4 linked regions of the Drosophila melanogaster genome follow. The protein of the gene in region 1 interacts with the protein of each later gene in a pairwise test. Each region holds a gene or a part of one and is shown on either strand. Other genes may lie near its edges.

Evidence for each region.
Region 2: the proteins of CG13458 (region 1) and Gsc interact in a two-hybrid assay, tested with the Drosophila melanogaster proteins (one large-scale study listed by BioGRID).
Region 3: the proteins of CG13458 (region 1) and Polr3F interact in a two-hybrid assay, tested with the Drosophila melanogaster proteins (one large-scale study listed by BioGRID).
Region 4: the proteins of CG13458 (region 1) and CG8617 interact in a two-hybrid assay, tested with the Drosophila melanogaster proteins (one large-scale study listed by BioGRID).

Annotation. Positions count from the first base shown.
Region 1 is NT_037436.4:15,111,509-15,117,485, forward strand, and holds CG13458 (uncharacterized protein), read left to right. Parts: upstream 1-2,048; 5' UTR 2,049-2,261; coding exon 2,262-2,775; intron 2,776-2,835; coding exon 2,836-2,993; intron 2,994-3,314; coding exon 3,315-3,459; intron 3,460-3,530; coding exon 3,531-3,938; intron 3,939-3,998; coding exon 3,999-4,275; intron 4,276-4,335; coding exon 4,336-4,442; intron 4,443-4,499; coding exon 4,500-4,795; 3' UTR 4,796-4,865; downstream 4,866-5,977. Other genes in the region: Ctps (CTP synthase), read left to right, coding at 1-80, 145-1,189; Cep135 (centrosomal protein 135kDa), read left to right, coding at 5,353-5,451, 5,513-5,587, 5,966-5,977.
Region 2 is NT_033779.5:591,095-596,576, reverse strand, and holds the start of Gsc (goosecoid), read left to right. Parts: upstream 1-1,891; 5' UTR 1,892-2,196; coding exon of another isoform or gene 2,197-2,370; coding exon 2,371-2,989; intron 2,990-3,943; coding exon 3,944-4,305; intron 4,306-5,482.
Region 3 is NT_033777.3:22,365,312-22,369,404, forward strand, and holds Polr3F (RNA polymerase III subunit F), read right to left. Parts: upstream 2,063-4,093; 5' UTR 2,043-2,062; intron 1,968-2,042; 5' UTR 1,907-1,967; intron 1,849-1,906; exon of another isoform or gene 1,848-1,848; 5' UTR 1,844-1,847; coding exon 1,451-1,843; intron 1,393-1,450; coding exon 904-1,392; 3' UTR 769-903; downstream 1-768. Other genes in the region: CG5382 (uncharacterized protein), read right to left, coding at 1-158, 226-337, 401-502. UniProt on the Drosophila melanogaster protein: DNA-dependent RNA polymerase catalyzes the transcription of DNA into RNA using the four ribonucleoside triphosphates as substrates. Specific peripheric component of RNA polymerase III which synthesizes small RNAs, such as 5S rRNA and tRNAs.
Region 4 is NT_033778.4:14,354,678-14,359,058, reverse strand, and holds CG8617 (uncharacterized protein), read left to right. Parts: upstream 1-1,777; 5' UTR 1,778-1,860; coding exon 1,861-1,923; intron 1,924-2,108; coding exon 2,109-2,888; 3' UTR 2,889-3,290; downstream 3,291-4,381. Other genes in the region: CG8613 (uncharacterized protein), read right to left, coding at 3,791-4,254, 4,318-4,381.

The sequences.
Region 1 (5,977 bases):
CTGCTGATGGAGCAGAATGGTGTTATTGAATACCTAAATGAGCGCCTACAGCTTAATATCGACATGAGCAAGAGGACCAAGTAAGTTAAGGTCTATATTTAAACCCTGAAAGTAAGTTAATCACAAATTGTTTGTTATTTTTAGATGCTTGCAGCAATGGCGAGATTTGGCGCGTCGAACGGAGACCGTTCGCCGTGAAGTTTGCATCGCCGTCGTGGGAAAGTACACCAAGTTCACGGATTCGTACGCCTCCGTAGTTAAAGCCCTGCAACATGCCGCCCTGGCAGTGAATCGCAAACTGGAACTGGTCTTTATCGAGTCGTGCCTGCTGGAGGAGGAAACTTTGCATTCTGAGCCGAGCAAGTACCACAAGGAGTGGCAGAAGCTATGCGATAGCCATGGCATCCTAGTCCCCGGTGGATTCGGTTCCCGTGGAATGGAGGGCAAGATTCGTGCATGCCAATGGGCGCGAGAGAATCAAAAGCCATTGCTTGGCATCTGCTTGGGTCTGCAAGCGGCGGTCATTGAATTCGCACGAAATAAACTTGGTCTCAAGGATGCAAACACCACAGAAATCGATCCGAACACAGCTAATGCCTTGGTCATCGATATGCCAGAGCATCACACGGGTCAATTGGGCGGCACTATGCGCTTGGGCAAGCGAATAACTGTTTTCTCTGATGGTCCTAGTGTCATTCGCCAGTTGTATGGCAATCCGAAAAGCGTGCAGGAGCGTCATCGGCATCGTTACGAGGTTAATCCCAAATACGTGCATCTGCTGGAAGAGCAAGGCATGCGATTTGTGGGCACCGACGTCGACAAAACTAGGATGGAAATCATTGAGCTCAGCGGTCATCCCTACTTTGTTGCCACCCAATATCATCCAGAGTACTTGTCGCGGCCTCTGAAGCCGTCGCCTCCTTTCCTCGGCCTGATCCTGGCCTCAGTGGATCGATTGAACCAATATATTCAGCGCGGTTGCCGCCTGTCGCCCCGCCAGCTATCCGACGCATCCTCGGATGAGGAGGACAGTGTTGTGGGCTTGGCCGGAGCAACAAAATCGCTGAGCTCCTTGAAAATTCCCATTACACCCACAAATGGAATATCAAAAAGTTGCAATGGTAGCATAAGCACTTCCGACAGCGAAGGTGCCTGCGGAGGCGTTGATCCTACCAATGGCCATAAGTAAACTAGTGAACGGTATCTTATATCCTAAAGTGTTTAACATCCGATTATCAGACGTACTTTTGTTATCGCAAAACCCCAAAAGTTTGGGATAACTTAAGTATTACTGGGTGGGTATAATACGGTATTTGCGAATTGAAAATTTTGACCTTTTATGAAAGAGGCATTAATAATAAGAAACCCTTTATAATTTCTCCTAAGCTTAAGTAAACTACGATGTTACTTTCCGTACATTTTTAATTTATATGAAAATCTTAATTCATATATATTTTTTGGATGCGAAAAAAAAAATAACTAATGGAACAATTTCAAATGTTTGTGTTTTATTTTGAACTTAGCGGGCAGCAAGAACGGTATTGGAAATAGTGCGTGGAAAGTAAATGTGTGCTATTTCTCTCTTTTCAAATTGGGCGCGAAATTTCGAAATTGGAATTGAAACATGCTAAATAAGCTTATTTGTTTCCGAATTTATGGAAAAATCGCTTTTCAAGATATCCATACCAATTGTTATGATTTTGTTCACACATAAACTATTGGAATACTTTGAAAACAATTGTTGCTTCTATTTTTAACGACAGTTCCATCAATACTTTTTGGCAACTGATACCTTATTAAAAAACTGACTGTTTTTTCTAAATTCTTACAAATATATTAAGGGATTATGTATAATCCCTTTTCTGCCAAGAACTATATTTTTAAAGAGCACCACAGAGTGGACTTCAGTGTAATTTTCTGCTTGTTGACGCAATTAGTTGAGATAGGCAGAGAATTAATCAAACGCTGGTACTCGAGAATAATAATGGACGCTAGCCCATGCGAATTGAGATTCGTATGCGGGATGCGGATTCAGATACCGGCTGGCGTTGTCAGACATCGTCAGGCCCGTGCCCAACAAAAATAGCCAGGGCATACATTTGGGCTTGCGGCCGCGATGAGAAGCGATGGCTAGCGGCCAATTGAATCGAGGCGGACCGCAAGACTCCCAACCAAGAACAATGCGCATTCTTCATTGTTCGTTCAATTGAGCAACGTGCTCTGGCTAATTTTGCACTCGAAATAAGAGAAACGCAGCTAACATGATTCAGTCGGGGGTCCACAAAAAGAAGCCAAGGATTCGGAATCGCCAGCGCAACAAGATCAACCAGGTGCCACAGGATCAAGGGGAATCTCCAGACGCAATTGCGTCTTCACTCAAAAGTAATGGCTCAAAAGCGGCAAATGGTGTAGAAAGTAAACCTCCGGTGGAAAAGCCCTTACTTACAAGTGGAAATTCTCTGCTTGAATCATTATCAAAAATTGGTCAAGTGGAAAATCCGCAAGAGAACGATACAATCCGGCTGATACAGCAACTGTTACGTAGGAAATTATTGGCCAAAAATAGTGCTGTGCCATCCAGCGAAAATAAGCCATCAACTGATCCGGTCAAAATAGTTACCCAACCAAAGGAAATCAAAAGTGAAGAAAAGAAACCAAAGATTTCGAGTACCTCGGTTACTCCAAAACTCAAAACAGAAGCCAAGGCATCTGGAATTTCAAAAGAAGAGGAAATAAATGATCTACTCAAATGCTTGGGCAGCAAACTGCCAAAGGGTAATTAGATAATCATTAGGAAGTATATACAATTCAACATAACTAAAATATGCTTGATAGGATCTGGTGAATCCCCAGCAGCCGCGTTATTCAGCAATCTTGGAAAGCTTTTCAGCCAAGCGCCGCCCAGCGATGTCGAGTCATCCGATGAGGAAGTGGAGGAGTATGTGGAGTACATCTATAAGCCAAGGCAATATTTTATGGCCTCACTGTGCAATGTAGGTAGTATTCATTACAAACTGTGCTTAATTGCTGAAGGGACTATAGTTTAAAACTTCTACATTTGTATACCCTACACTCCTAAAGGAAAAGGGCATAATAGATTCGTTGAAAAGTATGTAACAGGTAAAATGGTTTCTTGCCAGTTTCTATCGATATGCTCATTAATGGTGGCATTCCCGCTAGATGAGTAATGGGTATCTGATAGTCGAGGAAGTTGGCTATAGCGTACTCTCCTATTTCTATATACAAATGTAAAGGGCGCATTAATAAGATTTTTTTACAATTTTATTTTACTAAGCCTTTTATAATACTTGCAGTTCTGCAAGTCGGATCTGTGCGGCCAGAATCGGATACCCTGCTCCCGCTGTGGACTGAGCTACTACTGCAGCAGTGGGCACATGAAAGACGACCAGGAGCACCGCCAGCTGTGCTACGCCCTGCGCCAGACGGTGGACCGCAATGGTGAGTGTCTTTCGGCGATTCACAAATTCATAAATCACACTAATTGCCAATTTTGGATGGGGCGGATGCAGGTCACGAGATGTTCTACAAGTGCGGCGACTTCAGTGACGAACAGTTCCGTTCCTTCCGGATCGTGTGCATTCGCCAGGTGGAGAAGGAGATGAATCGTCAGCTCAGCGCAACGGAGAGAGAGTTGCTCCTATTTCCACTGATCTGCGCCGACTCAAAGTGCCGGGAGCATCGCTTTAAACGTCTATCCATGTGCGGTGGATGTGGCGAGGTGGCTTTCTGCAAGGATAAGCCGGAGCACCGAGGCAAGGAGCACGCCAAGTGGTGTGGAGCCTATCAGATTTTCAAGGCCTTCATCATGTTTCAGGAACAGTTCGGCCGCATGGAGCCATCACTGCCCAGTAAGATTCTTAGAGAGCTGCCCATGGCTTGCTCCAACACCAAGCAGATGATGAAGAAGCTAAGCTTTAGTAAGTAAACACGAAGTATTCAAGGATTTTATTATAATGTATTATTATACTGATTTAAAGATGTTACCAATGAGTGTGAGTACGCAGCACTTACCCAGGTGTCCACTGGCCCATTAACTGCCTGGTTTGCCTTGAAACTTTGCGAGCGCCTCAGAAACTGCGAGGAGATGACTCTTCACTTAATTGGAGCCGAGATCGAATTTGAGGCGGATATGCTGCAGAAATGGGAACTCTTCCTGCTCCACATAACGCCAGCGGTGAAAACTCTGAATGTGGTCTTTGTTGGACCTGAACTTAATCCTAATAATATATCCTTTGAACAGCTAAAGAAAATCAAGTGAGTTACACTTTTAGTTAGTAGTTTAAACATTAGTCTAAAGATTATCAATCTATTTAGATGCTGCCGTTTCTGCAGAAAAGCCCAGAGAACGGTTAACTATCATTTTGAGAATAGTTTATATCACGATTACTGCAGAGAATCGCACTTTCTTCAGCCGAATTTGAGTAAGTTAACACTCATTTAAGCGAAACTAATAATAATTATTATACATAAATTCATAGTTTGCTTCTTTAACTGCGGTCTGTACCGATCAACTGGTTTCGCTCTGGAGGATACTTGGCCAGATACCATTCAAGCTGCACTCAATCTCAACTGCCCCATCGTAGTTACTTCCTATACAAAATACGAGGCCCCTTTGGATATGATTCAATTTATTAACCAATCGAATCGACACTTAAATGTCGTAATGCCGCCAACTGTAAATCCGTTTTCCTCGGAAAAGCCAGAACGTAATTTTATATCAGATAATGAAGCGTCTTTTATGTTTAAGAACTTTTACTGTTTTGTTGTTGATTAATCGCAGTCCACACCTTAGTTTTTTTTTAATAAAAAGACAAATATCGAACAATTCTGATTTGGACAAGGTCAATTATTTAGTAAAGCCTGGTACAATTCTAAAAGTTTAAAAAATTTGTATTATAATTTGGTTTTTTAGACATAGCCATAGACACATGAACAATAATAAAATTATTATATTGAAATATTCGGTAACTTCTTTTCGGTTGCAGTACATACCTGGTAAAATCTATGAATTTTCATAAAAAATATAAAATTTTGTTCAGCTTTTATATTTTATTTTGAATGTAACGTTTTTTCTGGGCAATCGATGTTATTTTTCATACTGATTTCGATACATTTGCGTTCGATAATAAAATACTAAAACAAATTTTCGATTGATTTCCTTGCTGAGGTGTGATGGTCACTTTCGATAACCGATATATTTAAGGAAATATCGGTTGAAGTCCGGTTTTGTTTTGATTTGATTGAATAGCATTGTTTTCATTGCGCATTTTCTGAAATTTAGGGCATTTAGGAGAAAACTTGTGATTTTTTTGCTGTTATTAGTGTTTTCCCATGAATATCAACGATGGTGACTTTAAAGACCTCCGCTGCAAACTGGACATCATGGGTTTCACACAGACGCTGCCCGTTTTGGCCATTCCACTGGTTCAGGTAATATTCATACCCTGTAATATTAATTTTTTGGCATAATCCTGTACCTTTTACATTGCAGGCTGTTTTCGGGGACCTAATCAAGACCACAGAATGTTTGAGGGATACCAAGAAAAAGGTGGCCGAGCTGCTGGAGGTGGGTATACCAGTAGAGAGTACAAGACCTTTGGGTTTTCTCGATTATATATGTGTAACTATAATATTATCACAATTTCTTACTGAAGAGATTCAGGTTGGTGCTGTTAAGATAAAAAAGAATTTGTCAATCTAAATATGATTATAATTGTGAGGATCCCATGAGAAACTTCTTTTCAGTATTCTTATTCTATATACGCCAAATATGCTTCATTTTTAAGGGCAGACTATACAATTCAATTGAATCCCTAAAATTAAGCGTGAAATACTTGCAAGGATATTTACACGTTAGCTTTTTAAGCCCACGTTCTTTCTTATATGTTGTGGTTTTTCAATTGGTTGCTAAGCAATCCTTCTGTTGTGGCTTTCCTTTCGGCAGGAAAAGACCTGT
Region 2 (5,482 bases), on another chromosome or scaffold:
ACTCAATATTTCCTTTACATTTACAACATCGTCATCATCGGTTTTCCCGTCGGGAGTTGTTGGCCATGTAAGAAGTTCAGTGTAAAGGCAAATAGCGAAGCCCAGAGAAAACTGGGCGGCAGGATCCACTAAGAATCGGAGGGGAAAGAGGACCAGAAATATCCTGGTCCTGCGGTCCTTGGCCTGCTTAATTATTCAATAATTTCTAAAAGCATTTGGCCACATGCGACGTCATCAGCCGTCATCCTTTCATCCTTTTACGGCATGTGACAGGACCGCCCCTCTTCTTCCGTGCGCCCCCGTAATCAGTTGAACACATATACCCCCAACACACACTAAAACATCTGCATTTATGTAAGCCTCCCTCCCTGGACCCCTCCTCTTTGTCCATCTTAGTACACAGAGCGATTTGGGTGCCCTTTAAATACTTTCTTATTATTTAAAGATATTTCGAAACCACCCAATTTAGTAGTCAGTGTTGATTGATAATTTATCAGGAACGCCTCGTCTTCCATGATTCTCCTAGCAGAATTAAGTTTAGTTAGTATGTAAAGATGGACCTTACTTGGGAATTATTTCTCCAAGTGATCCCCATTTTTCACCCCCACATAGGTGACATTGTAAGGACTTTTCGGTTCATTTGCTTTTCCTGGCTGGATTTCCATTTGTGATTGTGGGTGTGGTTTGCAGAGTTGCATTTATCATTAGTCGTAGCTTAGCTTTTGTTTTCCTGCATTCGAGTGGACGAGGAGGGGGGGCATATCTAGGGAACGAACCCTGGCGGCCATTGGGGATTTTGCACTTGGGCATGTTTGATGTGGAAACTTTAGATTAAAATATTTTCCTATGCACACACACGAGGTGAAACAATAGCGACGAGGGTCACCAAAGTGCCGTAGATTATTGAATGAGCGCTCCCAGTCTCCCTCCAGTGTAAGCTTCATCTTTATGTACGAGTAGTAGCGTGCTTCTTTCTACATAAAACGTTCACCCCTTAACCCTTTTCAAGCTCCCAACGTCTGCAAGAATGATGATAAAGATAAAGCTCAGAAAGGGAGAAAGAGCAAGAGCAGCGCTTCTCCGTGGGCGGATTGAGCGCATAATGATGTTTATGTGTTGCCAGAAACATAAAAGCATTAATTTAGTCATTATCTTCTTAAGATACGGCGCCAGCAGAGGCAGTGGAGTATCAGAATCCCCTGAACGCGAGAAGAGAGCGTCAGGCTTTTTGCCACCCATAATTTCCATCAGCATTTTTATGCTACCCCTGCTACTCACTCTGAGTGAAAGCGAGAGAGCTTCTGTTGCCATATCCTGCGCACCCGCTTCCCTTCTCTATCGCTCCCTCGACAGCTATCTCTTTCTGTGGGGGCCGCGGGGTCTGTCAGTGATGACTTTATCTGTATAAATAACTGTCAGTGGCCAAAGAAAGTAAGTAGAGAGCGCAAAAATACAAAAAAATACATGGAAGCATTGGTGTGAATTGGGTGGAAAAGGAGGGGTCTGGTGAATGGGGCATTATCTCTGTAGCGCCATCTTTATCCTGGACCTCCTGCCAGCCTTTAACCTGGAACACTGCAAGATGGGGGCCCGACACCATCAACCACCACCAGCTAGAGCGAGAGAAAGAGATACAGAGGGAAAGCAAAAAAGGGAGGGAGGATACAGAGAGAGGGAGAGGCGTCCAAAGCCAGAGAGTATTGCCAAGCAATATGGTAGCGTTGAGGGCGTGGCTTCACCCCGATTTCATTGGCCAACGTCGAAAAATGTCCGCTAAACGAGAGAGCAGATGTGAGTTTGTATCTGGCATCTGAGAGTCTGTATCTATATCTGTCGAGGAACTGGCCTAACGACTACTCAATCGACAACTTGTCGGGCGGAACGCTCTCACAACACTTTCGCAGCTCGAGCGGACAAGAAGGGTTCCCGGTGGCAGAAAACCTGTGGAAATAATAAAATATAAAATCACGACGCGATTGCAGTGCGTGTTTCTAGTGCGGTTTAGTGAACTTGGCATCGATCAAAACACACTAATCCAGTGAAAAAAACCTAGACTTAATATTCGCAACATTGCCACCATTACTGAATTAAAAAAAATTGTAAAGCGCTTAGTGCTTCAAAAGTGCCGCTTCATTAAAAAAAAATCAGTGGGGAAGAGACTTTTTCCTACTCGAAAGCTTCATAGACTTCTTCAAGATTCTCTCCTCACTGTGGACCCCTGGAGGAGGCGGTGGAGGCACCACCACCACCACTCCCAGCACCACGCCCGACATTCCGCCCTCGAAGGCCAAGTTCAAGATCACCGTCGTGAGCACGCCCAGCCCCTCCCCGCCGCCTACGCCCCCTCCGGCTGGATCTATGCTGGCACAAATGGTAGAGACAAATTCCCCGCCGGCGGGTTACACCCTCAAAAGGTCGCCCAGCGATCTCGGCGAGCAGCAGCAGCCTCCAAGGCAGATCTCGCGATCTCCTGGCAACACGGCCGCCTATCACCTGACCACCGCCATGCTCCTGAACTCGCAGCAATGCGGCTACTTGGGCCAGCGATTGCAGTCGGTCCTCCAGCAGCAGCACGCCCAACACCAGCAGTCCCAAAGTCAAACTCCGTCCTCCGATGATGGCAGCCAGTCAGGTGTCACCATTCTGGAAGAGGAGAGAAGAGGAGGAGCCGCCGCCGCGTCTCTCTTCACTATCGACAGCATTTTGGGCTCTCGCCAACAGGGTGGAGGCACCGCTCCAAGCCAAGGCAGCCACATCAGCAGCAATGGCAACCAAAATGGACTCACCTCGAATGGCATCAGTTTGGGTCTGAAAAGAAGTGGCGCCGAGTCCCCAGCCTCGCCAAATTCAAACTCCAGTTCTAGCGCAGCCGCCAGTCCCATCCGACCGCAGAGGGTTCCTGCCATGCTGCAGCATCCTGGCCTGCATCTGGGTCACTTGGCGGCTGCAGCGGCGAGCGGTTTTGCCGCCTCTCCCTCGGATTTTTTGGGTAAGTCTATCAATCCCCCTATACTGAACGCACAAGCCCCCTCAGCTGAATTTCATTATGAAGACAACTTAAGACGAAACCAGTTCAAAGGATGGTTCTTTAGATAAAGAAATTTTAACATTTTGAAATACCTTATTTCATGCATCTAAACTCTGAAATCACCTTAAGGCAGCTCACTCATGCAGTCAGGAATCACCCATTCAGCCACTCACCCACTTTTATCCTGACATCCTCATCCTCTCCCACTCAACCGAACCACACCCATTCCGAAGCGAGTCCTGAATGGCATTATTCATAATTAGGCAATGATCCGTGAAAGATGATTCCGCATTTCCTCTCCATTTTCCTTCGATTTTGCGGTGAGAGGATTTGCATTGGGCTCTAAGTCTTAGCTTGGGCCGGAAAAACCAGGGAAATCCGGGATGCTGGGGTGGCTTTAAGATGGGCTCAGGCCTTGTGTTGATTCGAGCGTGGATCTCAGGCGCAGATTTATGCAGAATACCGCTTAAATTCATTCAAAGGCTCCCCCGCAGGACATGAATATTAAAAACCTGGTCGCAACTTTTTTCCCCAGCTTGCTGCAACCGGAAACGGAAGCCACACATACGTTTACAGATGGGGTCAAAGGAATAGATCCGTTTTTGCAATATGTTATCCATATATCATTGTAATATTCTTCGTAACGATATTTACATGTTTTCCAAGTACAACATATGCTGAAGAGGGTAAATAGTTTTACATTTTACTTGAACTGATACCATTTTTGTGTCTACTGTAAGCCAAAATGGCGGCAGTTTTATTTTGCGCGGTTCGTTATGCGCATTTTTAAGGATTTACCCAGGAATATTCCACTTACACCCATTCCCGTGGCCCTCTTTTCTCCAGTTATATGATGATGATATGACTGTTATTCCAACCAGGGAATAATGAATTTTCCTTTTGTTTTCCCTACAGTGGCGTACCCCAACTTCTATCCAAACTACATGCACGCTGCTGCGGTGGCGCATGTGGCCGCTGCTCAGATGCAGGCACATGTGAGTGGAGCAGCCGCTGGATTGTCGGGTCACGGGCACCATCCGCACCACCCCCATGGGCACCCCCACCATCCACATCTGGGCGCACACCACCACGGACAGCACCACCTCAGCCATCTGGGTCATGGACCTCCGCCGAAGAGGAAGCGTCGCCATCGCACCATCTTCACGGAGGAGCAGTTGGAGCAACTGGAGGCCACCTTCGACAAAACACACTACCCAGATGTGGTGCTCCGGGAGCAACTTGCCCTCAAGGTGGATCTCAAAGAAGAACGAGTTGAGGTGAGTTTAAAGCTTCTAATTTTTAATGCCGAAGAAGGTGTAAAAAAGGGGGCAAGACTAAGTTTAAAGCATAACTTTATAGACATTTAAAGTAATTTTTTTAAGGCCGCTTTGTCACCACAAAAAAACAATCAATGCCTGGCTTTAGCTTTTGATCACTGTGTTCTTCCTAGCAGCCGCCCACACTCTGTGTTTAACATTTGGCTCTAATTTCACGCTCGTTTTAATTCCCCGCGTGAAACCAATTGAGTGCTACACCCCCGCTCCTCTACACTCCACTTAACCAGAATCAGATTCCGAATCCGAATCTCTGGCATCTGCATCGCAATCTCTATTCTCTCCAGCGAGATTCTCCCTCTGAGAACTTCTACTTGTTTATTTAGTTGTCAGCGGCGTACATTTTGAGGGGCTTCTTCGCCGGCGAAAGCAAAACAATGCCAATCCCAATGATTCACTTAATTTGGGTAATGGGACTCGGGATACAACCGCATGTTTAAACGGATGGTGAGGGTTATTTGCTCGTCGGTGGTTGCCACTGCTGAATCGTATCATTGGTAATGTAAATATGCAGGGATTCCGCCTTCTGCGCCCTTGTAAATCCCACCCCGGGGGATGAACCATCCCTTTAACATCGGCAATTGTGATTCAAAGTCCATTAGTGTCGAGGAAACCCAACAACAAACAAACAAATTGAGAGGTCACCAAGGAAGAAAGTGACGACAAAAGTTGACAATTTAATTTGTTCACATTTTTGGTGCATTGATGGGTGGCTATTTCGCGTCTTTGATGAGGATTATCCACGCTTTCCGGGCTACGGGCCCCGGGTTCCGGGCCCCCTTAGTTTTCGTTTCCCTGGCAATATGTTTGTCAACCGGTCAAATGTTTAATCTAACCCATCCAACCCCATCTCACCCTCACCTTTCGCAGCGCAGGAAGGCGGACAAGTGCGACATTTGTTGACACTCGAAGGGTTTGGGCTTATGTTTAGCCGTGAGCCTAAGACAACTTACACATTAACATTACTAACCATTTAGGATAATGAGAGGCGTGGCGTTACTCAACCCGCAGGCGAATTGACGCCCGCTTTTTGATTAGGCGACAAATTTAACCCGCGGCGAGCATTGGAATCCAAAGCGGATTAGAATGCAGGTTGTAAGTTGTAAGTTGCGAGGTTGTT
Region 3 (4,093 bases), on another chromosome or scaffold:
CTGCGACAGGAAACTCTTCAGAGCATCGGCCACCGGGGAGACCAGGTTGGCGTTGGGAAAGATCTCCACACTGCAGGCGGGGCACTGGTGACCCCGAGGGGCTGTGTTGGCAGGCAGTGCGGCTTGGCGGGCGTTCAGGCAGTCCCAGTGGAAAACATCTGGAAATGGCAGGATTATGGGTAAGTGTGTGGTGTCTGGATTAGCTCAAAACTGGCAGATCCCTACGGTAGCAGACGAGGCGCACGCAATCGCCCTGCTCCAATGTGGTGCCGCACAGAGTGCAGTTGGAGATGTAGTCGCTGTCCCGCAGCCACTGCAGATACGACTGCACAATGCACTGAAAAAGAGTGGATATGGTGTATTCCAAGCATCCATAAAACTAGAGGACAGGAATCCTTACCTTTGGATGAGACTGAACCATACAGTGTTCGCAAACATTGACTCGATGCTCAAAGCAAAACTGGTTGGTCACCAGGCGCTTGGGGCACTTGCACAAACCCATTTCCTTAAATTCGGGGTTCCTAAGGCGGCGGAGGAATTGCACTTGGCGGCCTTGGGACAGCTATCGCATAATAACGCCTCAATAAAATTAAATTTTATTTCGTTTCGCAGCTTTTGTCGGAATTTTCGAGTTTTCATTCACATATTCAACAGCCACGTATCTGTTCATGCGTTCCGGGCGATTGGCAACCAGCTGACATATTCTGCGAATATCGTAGCGATGAATGATGAAATACGATATGTGTTTGCGATTTAAAAAATCGGTTTCAAATTTTCCTTTTTTTTATGGTAACCATAACATTTAAGAGTTAATAATGTTTGTGCTACAAAAAGCTTAATAAACAATAAGTTCAATTTGTAATACTTAATATAAAATAAAATCCAGAGTTTTCGAGCTAATCCCTAATCCAACCAATCTCGCATATATTCACAAGTTATAGCAGTTACATCGCCACAATTGGAGCAGTTTTTGATGACGGGACAAATGCCACATGGCATCTGGACCAGACCAGTCGGAGGAAGTGGGGCGTTCACCGCCCGGTAGACGAAGGATCCATCCTGCTGGCGCACTCGCTCCGCATTGCCGTCGTACACCACTGTTTTGAGAATTGTTTCCAGATCGGCCTCCGCCAGATTAACCTTGCTGATGCCCAAGTCCGAGATGAACTTCTGAACCTCGTTCACCGTGCAGCAAGACATCTGCTTGAAGGCCAGTGGCCCCTCGCGCTTCTTTTCCGCACTGTCGCGTTTCATTTGCAGAAAGCGCAGGCACTGCTGGTTGAGCACATCCACAAACTCCACCTCAAAGTCCTGATCCTGGTACCAGGCTCCTCCCGTAATGGAGAGATCCGGCTCTAGGTTGTACAGCATGTACACTTTCTTTTTGCTGGCCTGCGCGAAGAAAATTTGGAATCACATTGAACTTGGAATATGGGATCATAGAACCTACGTTCACCGACTTGACCGCCTTGATGAGCTTCTTGGTTTCTAGGTTCTTGAGGATCTTGTTGAGCTGTATCATGTTCAGGTTGGACTTCATACGTATATCCCTAATCCAGATGCCTTTGTTGCCGCCCTCCTCAACAATGCCGTAGACGACCTTCTCCTCATTGTCCGCATCCTTGGGCAGGGCACTCTTCTTTTCCGGGTCCTTGGCACGGTACACCAGCTTTTCACCCTTCTTCAGGATCTCGATCCCGCCCTCCTGCAGCAGTATATTCAAAGCTTCCACCCGCGTGGCCGCCGGCACATCGGGCAGCGCCTTGGTCAGGTCATCGTTGGTGGCACCGGCTGGGATGCCCTGGACCACCGCCAGCAAAAGTTGCGACACCTCAGTGGCCATTTTTCTATTCTCGAAAATTTGTTATTTAAAATTCAATTAAATCGAGAAAAACAACACGCTTACCGTGAAAAGCAAAACAAAAACAAACGGTTCCGGGCGAATGGCTACCGCTGCTAAGAAGAAGCTAAAAAATAACAAAAATCACAAACCAATTTTAAAAATATAAGTTTGTTCTATTAAAAATAATACTTTACGCAACTGAATAAATGAGGATAAATAAGGAGCATATGTTTTAGGCTTTATTACAAATTGCTTTAAATAAAATTTAAAGCTTTCCGAAGACCCCAAATGTTATATCGTGAATCTGGTATGTATATACCAAATGGTATTTATTTTAAAAACGAGTGGCTTTTTTAGGCTCATTGGTGCCAACTGTTTTTTCGAACAGATCGCCGGACGCACTGTTTCTGATTGGAGTGTTCGCTGCCTGTGCATTTAAATTGAATTAAAATAATTCCAAAACAGGAAGAGCAAATACATCTTTCCGCGAGTTCACCTTTACTGTCAAAAACAGGTAATTATCAGATCTTCTTGATACGACCTCAAGCTAAACATCATTCCATTATAATACGCTAGAAATTTTGCTAACGAAATTGGCGGGGGCAAGACATTTGTTTTTGCTGTTGTTGATGATGCAAGCAATTTCTCCACATTATGTAGAATTGCGTTTGCCGCCTCACAAAACACATACACACAAGCACGGCTGCGAATTCAATTCGCACACCCATACAATCTCAAAAGAACCTCGTTAGCGAAATGTGTAAAGGTGAAATAGAAGTCATTCCATGCGGAGCGCGCCACAAGTAAAATAACCTACACCATCGCAATCACACCCTATTAAACATGCCATCGGAAATAATGCAGCAATAATAATCTTGAACCGCTGTAAACTTCCACTATCGCAATTGTTTAATTGCTCTGTGACGACGACGCTTTCAGCGATGATGAGTAATTTTGCATAAATTTGCTCTGTGCCGGATTGTCTGAATTATATTTGAAATTTTGTTGCTGTTTCGGCGTCTCAGTGATAAGCATTTGTTGTTGCAGACCCGAGCTTCAAAATGTTAACGGCGCTAACGTCCTTTATCCACAAGTTCAAGGTTAAATAGTACGGCACATAGTACTCATTACATATTGACTGAAGCCTGGAAAAGCACTTTCACTTTCAGAACTTTTCTCGTGCGTTTTCCGGCGACAAAAGCTGCAGGCCGGCGAGCTTTACTTGCACGGTTTCTGCGCGTGTCACTCACGATGAGCGAAAGAGAGAGCGGAAGATAAAAGGAAAGTAGATGCTCACGCACTTGCATAATGGCAGTGCGAGCGAGACGAAGCTGTTTTCTGTGGAGGAGATTAGGTTGTCAAGGTCAGCACAGTGGAATTCTAGGTGGAAGTGGGACAGTTGGACAGTGGGCTCTTTTCCGCGTTGCTTTTTTTCTGTATTGCCAGCTGATAAGCGCCGTCTAACAGCTGATGATCGGTTTTTTGTTTACCACGCACACACATACTGACATCACGTGTCCATATAATCATATATACACATACTTCTGTACAATGCAAATTTATATGCAAAAATTAATAATCGTAATGGATCGTTGAACCTTCTGTTCTATCCGATTGCCGGCCAGCCTAGCAACGGAGCTTTGCGCCAGTTAACTTCGGAGCTTCCTTTTTGGATAAACTTTTCGCATCCCCTTACGCGAAGGGAGTTAGGGTATGTTGGCACAATAGCATATCTTGATCCTGCTAAACACTTTACTTATACTTAAATATCGAATGATAATTTGAGCCTCTATCTTTTCCATTTGATAATATCTTTATTAATTTTTATATGCAGTATTGTAAGATTAAGGTTATATTTCACTCGGAATTATATTGGGAATAGCGGTAAGGCCACTTGGTCGACTGAGCAGCTGGCAGTCCCTGGTCGAGCATACCCTTGAATATACCCTTCTTGCTCGCTCACCAATGTTGTCTCTTTAGGGGTGGCCTGTTGCGTCCGCCTCTTGCCTCTTGGGCCCAAACTCTCTCTCCTCTGCGTTTATGCTCTCTTTGCTGTCGGGCTACCGACATTCTGAGCGCTTTTTCTGCGGCTAGGAAAATTTCCGCTTGCCAAAAAATCTGTGTGGCAGTCGAACTTTTTGTCTCGTCCTCGCCGCGTCCGATTTTCCATATATCCCGATTTTCGTCTCAAACTTGGAAGATATATTGCCAAAATATTGCATTCGGCTAGCCGCTGCGTTGTGTGTGTTG
Region 4 (4,381 bases), on another chromosome or scaffold:
TATTGCAACATTGAACCTTTATTTGCAACTAGAAACTAGATTTCGAGAATCATCGGGCGGGGCGGCTGAGGATCTGGCATTTCGTCCGTAAGATCGGTTATTCGCAATGGAGGAATATGATATTCGAACCAAATGGCGGGTGAAGTGCCTCGGCATGGAGCTCCATTTTCTTCGAATCTTATGTTTTGACATTGCGAGTCTGAAATGGATGTTGCCTGATCTCCAGCCGCCCCGCACAACCGTTGATTCTCACAACCGCCGGCTCCACTTTGTGCCGGTCAGCGGAGAAAAAGCGATTATTTGGCTATCAAAAGATATGATCACTGTGTTGAGAGACATGGCAATCATCGCTATTGTAACCATATATTTGCTGATTTTTCGTCTGATCCTGGTCCTTTGTGAAGCTAGCAAAAAACCCCCCGCCCGGTGAATGCCCACTTAGATCCTTTTGCAGGAGGATTTCGACGGCCCTGAAGGTGGGCGCCACCCGTTTCCGGTAGCGGCTTCGGCTGCTTCCGGTTTCCGGTGTCGCAACCCTTCGCGATGTCCCCCGTGCGAGTGGAGCTACAGTGGGCGTGAGCCGGGCAAAACCTAAATTTCTTCGGAGATTTAAAAAACCAACAAATTTTTTGACTTTTGTCAAAACAATTCGAACCCACATAGCACTACGATGGCTAACGATTCGCCATCCGTGCGGTTGGCACGCCAAAACTGTCTCTTCGAGATCACGGGCCTAGGGCTGTTTAACATTCGACCCAAGCGATTTCGCGACAGGCTTCGGCACGCCAGTATATAACCCAAAACACACAAACGTCAGGGGCTGGAACGCGTCACTGCCGTGCTCCTCCAGCCGGCACAGTCATTCCCCGCCCCCACACCAAGCAAAACCGGCCGCTTGTGCAGATGACATAGGCGCGACCAGCCAACTGACCCGGCTGACCAGACTTGCACCGTGCGCCATCAACTGGAATCTTGGCCACAAGCACAGCAATAGTTTGGCCCGCTATTCCCACACAGAAACCCAGAGTGGGGGCCTATGGAAGACCACAAGTGGTTGCGTGGAACTGCTAAAAATATAAAACTGTAAAACTAAAGACTGAAACTAGAAAACAACCATTAAACTCAGAAACGGAAAACTGCGTAATTGTTTTTATTTTATGGGGTGGATGGGACAACATTTTTACAGGGAATCATTTTTTTAAACAAAAGTTGATATAATATAAGAAAAAATGCAATTAGCCAAGCTCTACAAAGCTCACGTATTTAATAAATGCTCCACCGAATGAAATGAATATTACAATATGCCATATAAAAATACAACATTAAATGATATTAAAACTGGTTTCTTTATTTCAATATAATTAAATGTCTCAGCCCTTCTAGACGTTATGTATAATAATTTCAAGTGGCTACAATCAGACTTAAAATCTAACTGGATTTACTTTCTACTAATAATATCCCAATCAGAAGTCAGATGTTGTGTGATTACATCTTGTTACATTTTTGATGATATTTAAATAAATTATGCTACATCATTAGTCATTGTGTCAAAGTAATTTTAATTTTATACAGTTGCAGTTTCGAGGTCGGACGGAACGGTCTGAAATTAACTAACAATATCTCGTGTATTTTGTGTGTGCTTTCGAAAAAAGTTTGTTTGAAAAATGTGTTAAGAAAGTGGCGCCGCCGAAATACCGATATCGCCAAGTATCCAATTATCGACGTGCCGTGGGTCCCGATTGTCTAACATAAATAAAGCCTGCTGATATCGAAGTACAACAGCCCGATAGGTGGAAGCAAATATCGATGACAGTCTTTATTTATATATTTCCTAATCAATATACCTGATATCAACAACTGATGCACAAAACACACCGTCTCACCACCGACAGCCAGTACATGGAGGTCGAAGGCTTGCTGCAGGTAAGTGGATGCACTGCGTCCGCAGATAAATGAATAGGTTTAATCCAGTGGCTGCTGCAACGCCCTTTCTTTTCGCCCCGTCGCACCACACACGACACCACTTTGCTCTTCGCTCTCCACTCGCCGCTCGCCACACTCCACCCACTCGAAAAACCTGGCCAAAAACCACGCACACACATGCACAGGCCATGGACATGCCCACCAGCCACGACCCGGAGGCGGAACTGGAACCGGAGTCCACGTCGCTGTGCCGCCTGAGCCGCTACAACGTGACCAACCTGTACGACGGGCCGGCGGGCGGGGGTTCCTCATTGAGCTCGGGCCGCCAGCGTTGCTACACAATGCCGCATGTGCCACCGCCAGCGCCGCCCTCCACGCCCACTCTGCTGACCAGCGGGTGCGGCGGCAGCAGCAACTCCGTATCCGTCTCCATCTCGCCCACCTGCTCCGCTGGAAGCCATCCCTTGGATAGCCAAAGTTTGAGCCAGAGCCCCTTGAACCACTTCATCTACGTAAAGAATGGCAAGAACCTGCGTCGCGAATCGCGCTGCGTCGACTCGGAGCTGTCAAAGTTATTCAACGTGGTGTCCATCACAAACCGGCTGACGGCTATTAAGAACCGCAGCAATTCCATTTCGAATTCCAGTGGAATACTCAATGCCTCGCGCACCATATCGAAGTTAAACGGGGCGACGGCCACCAAGATCTTTAAGATTCATCGGGATCCGAAGGAATTTCTGCGCGAAACGGACGAGGATTCCGTGTCTGCGCCGGAGTACGACGAGGAGGAGGAGGACACGCGCTTCCGTTTCTTTCGGCGTGCGCGCTTCTCGAGGAGGTACAGTACCGCACGATCCGGCCGGAAATTTGCGCGAAAGTTCGCCCGATTTGAGCATCATGAGCGCATGGAAACCATCGTGGATAGTTTCGATGCAGCAATGAGCTTCAATGATGCAGACACCTGAGAGGCGGAGGCCACGACGAGGACGACGACGACAGCAACAGTTGAGAATGAGGCATGGCAGATGGTCGGCCAACCAATGTGATGAATGTGAATTTCAACTAAATTATTTTAATTACTACAAACTACTATTATTACGATTATTATTACCGATTACCGAACTGTTCTCTCCATACGTTTAGTTTCCTTCTACGCCGATTGCCGTGGCCTTCGAGATCCCAGCACCACTCCTGCATTTGATCGGGTTTGGTGGCGGATCGCGGACGCAGCGCATGGCACGCATTTAGTTTAAAGCCTAGTTTTACGCCTACGCCTCTGGGGCGGAGCAGGTGCAGCCGACCACCGAATGGTTGATAGCTCCACGAACAGAACGATTCCAATAAATGCACAAAACGTGTTGTATTCGAGAAGAGAGATTACTCGACGTTGGTTTCATTTATGGTGTGATGTGATTAGTGATTTTTTTTACTCCAACCTTAACGATTATTTACATAACGAATACACATTGTATGTTTTCTTTATTAACGTTGTATATGGACATGTATAAGGTTATTTCGGTTATTAGTCACTGTCAGGCTCGTTTTCTCGTTCAAATGGATGGGTATGATAGGTTTTAAACTGGAGAGAACCTTGCAGTTCAAAATCTACATAAGCTATACCATGAAAATAAGAAGAGGGGCCTTTGTACAACAACTTTAACCAACTCTAGACACTTAGGGAGCAATGCAGTCTCTCAGACTTAACAGTGAAATAAGCTGGAGTCGCAAGTCTATTGGGGTCTTTAATAACGGGATCTTAACACTATGTAGTTCCGAGAACTCCTTTTTGTTTGCTTTTGAAGCAAATCAATAACAATTAACTAACATCTAGAAGTTCTTAAAATACATTTCGAGTAAATTTCCGGATCTAATCACGTTTTGAGAAGAAATACGCCATTAGGTTATCCTCTAGCTGCTGCGGATCGGTAACTGGCATTCGACAAGCTCGCTCGTGACAAATGTAAACCGTAGTTTTACCGCCCACCATCTTAAACTTTGTCTGCAAGCGCTGATTGGAGGCTTCCTCTGGATTCGAGGGATCCACATGCACTATGATCATGCTTGGAATAAAGAACTTGCGACAAATTTCCACAAATCGTTGGGTGTCTGGCGAATCCGGTCCCACCACTGCCACAAGATCCAGCCCGTTCTCGTGCATCAGCAGGGCGGACAACATCTCTGGCAGAGCGTGTCCGAAGGGCGATACGTCTGCAAAGAAATTCAGTAGTTTCCCGGCCTTCTGGAGATAGGCATTTTCGTCATAATAGTGGGCCAGTAGGACAAGATTGTGGGCGGATACACTGTTTCCACAAGGTTCGGCTCCATCGTGGTCTTAACAAAATTTCGGGAAATCAGATATTGTTGGAGAGTGTACTTAAAAGCTATCCCACTCACCTTCCTTGAGTCGCACAATAACATTGGGTGCATCCTGTTGCGAGAAGAAATACGCTCCGTTTCG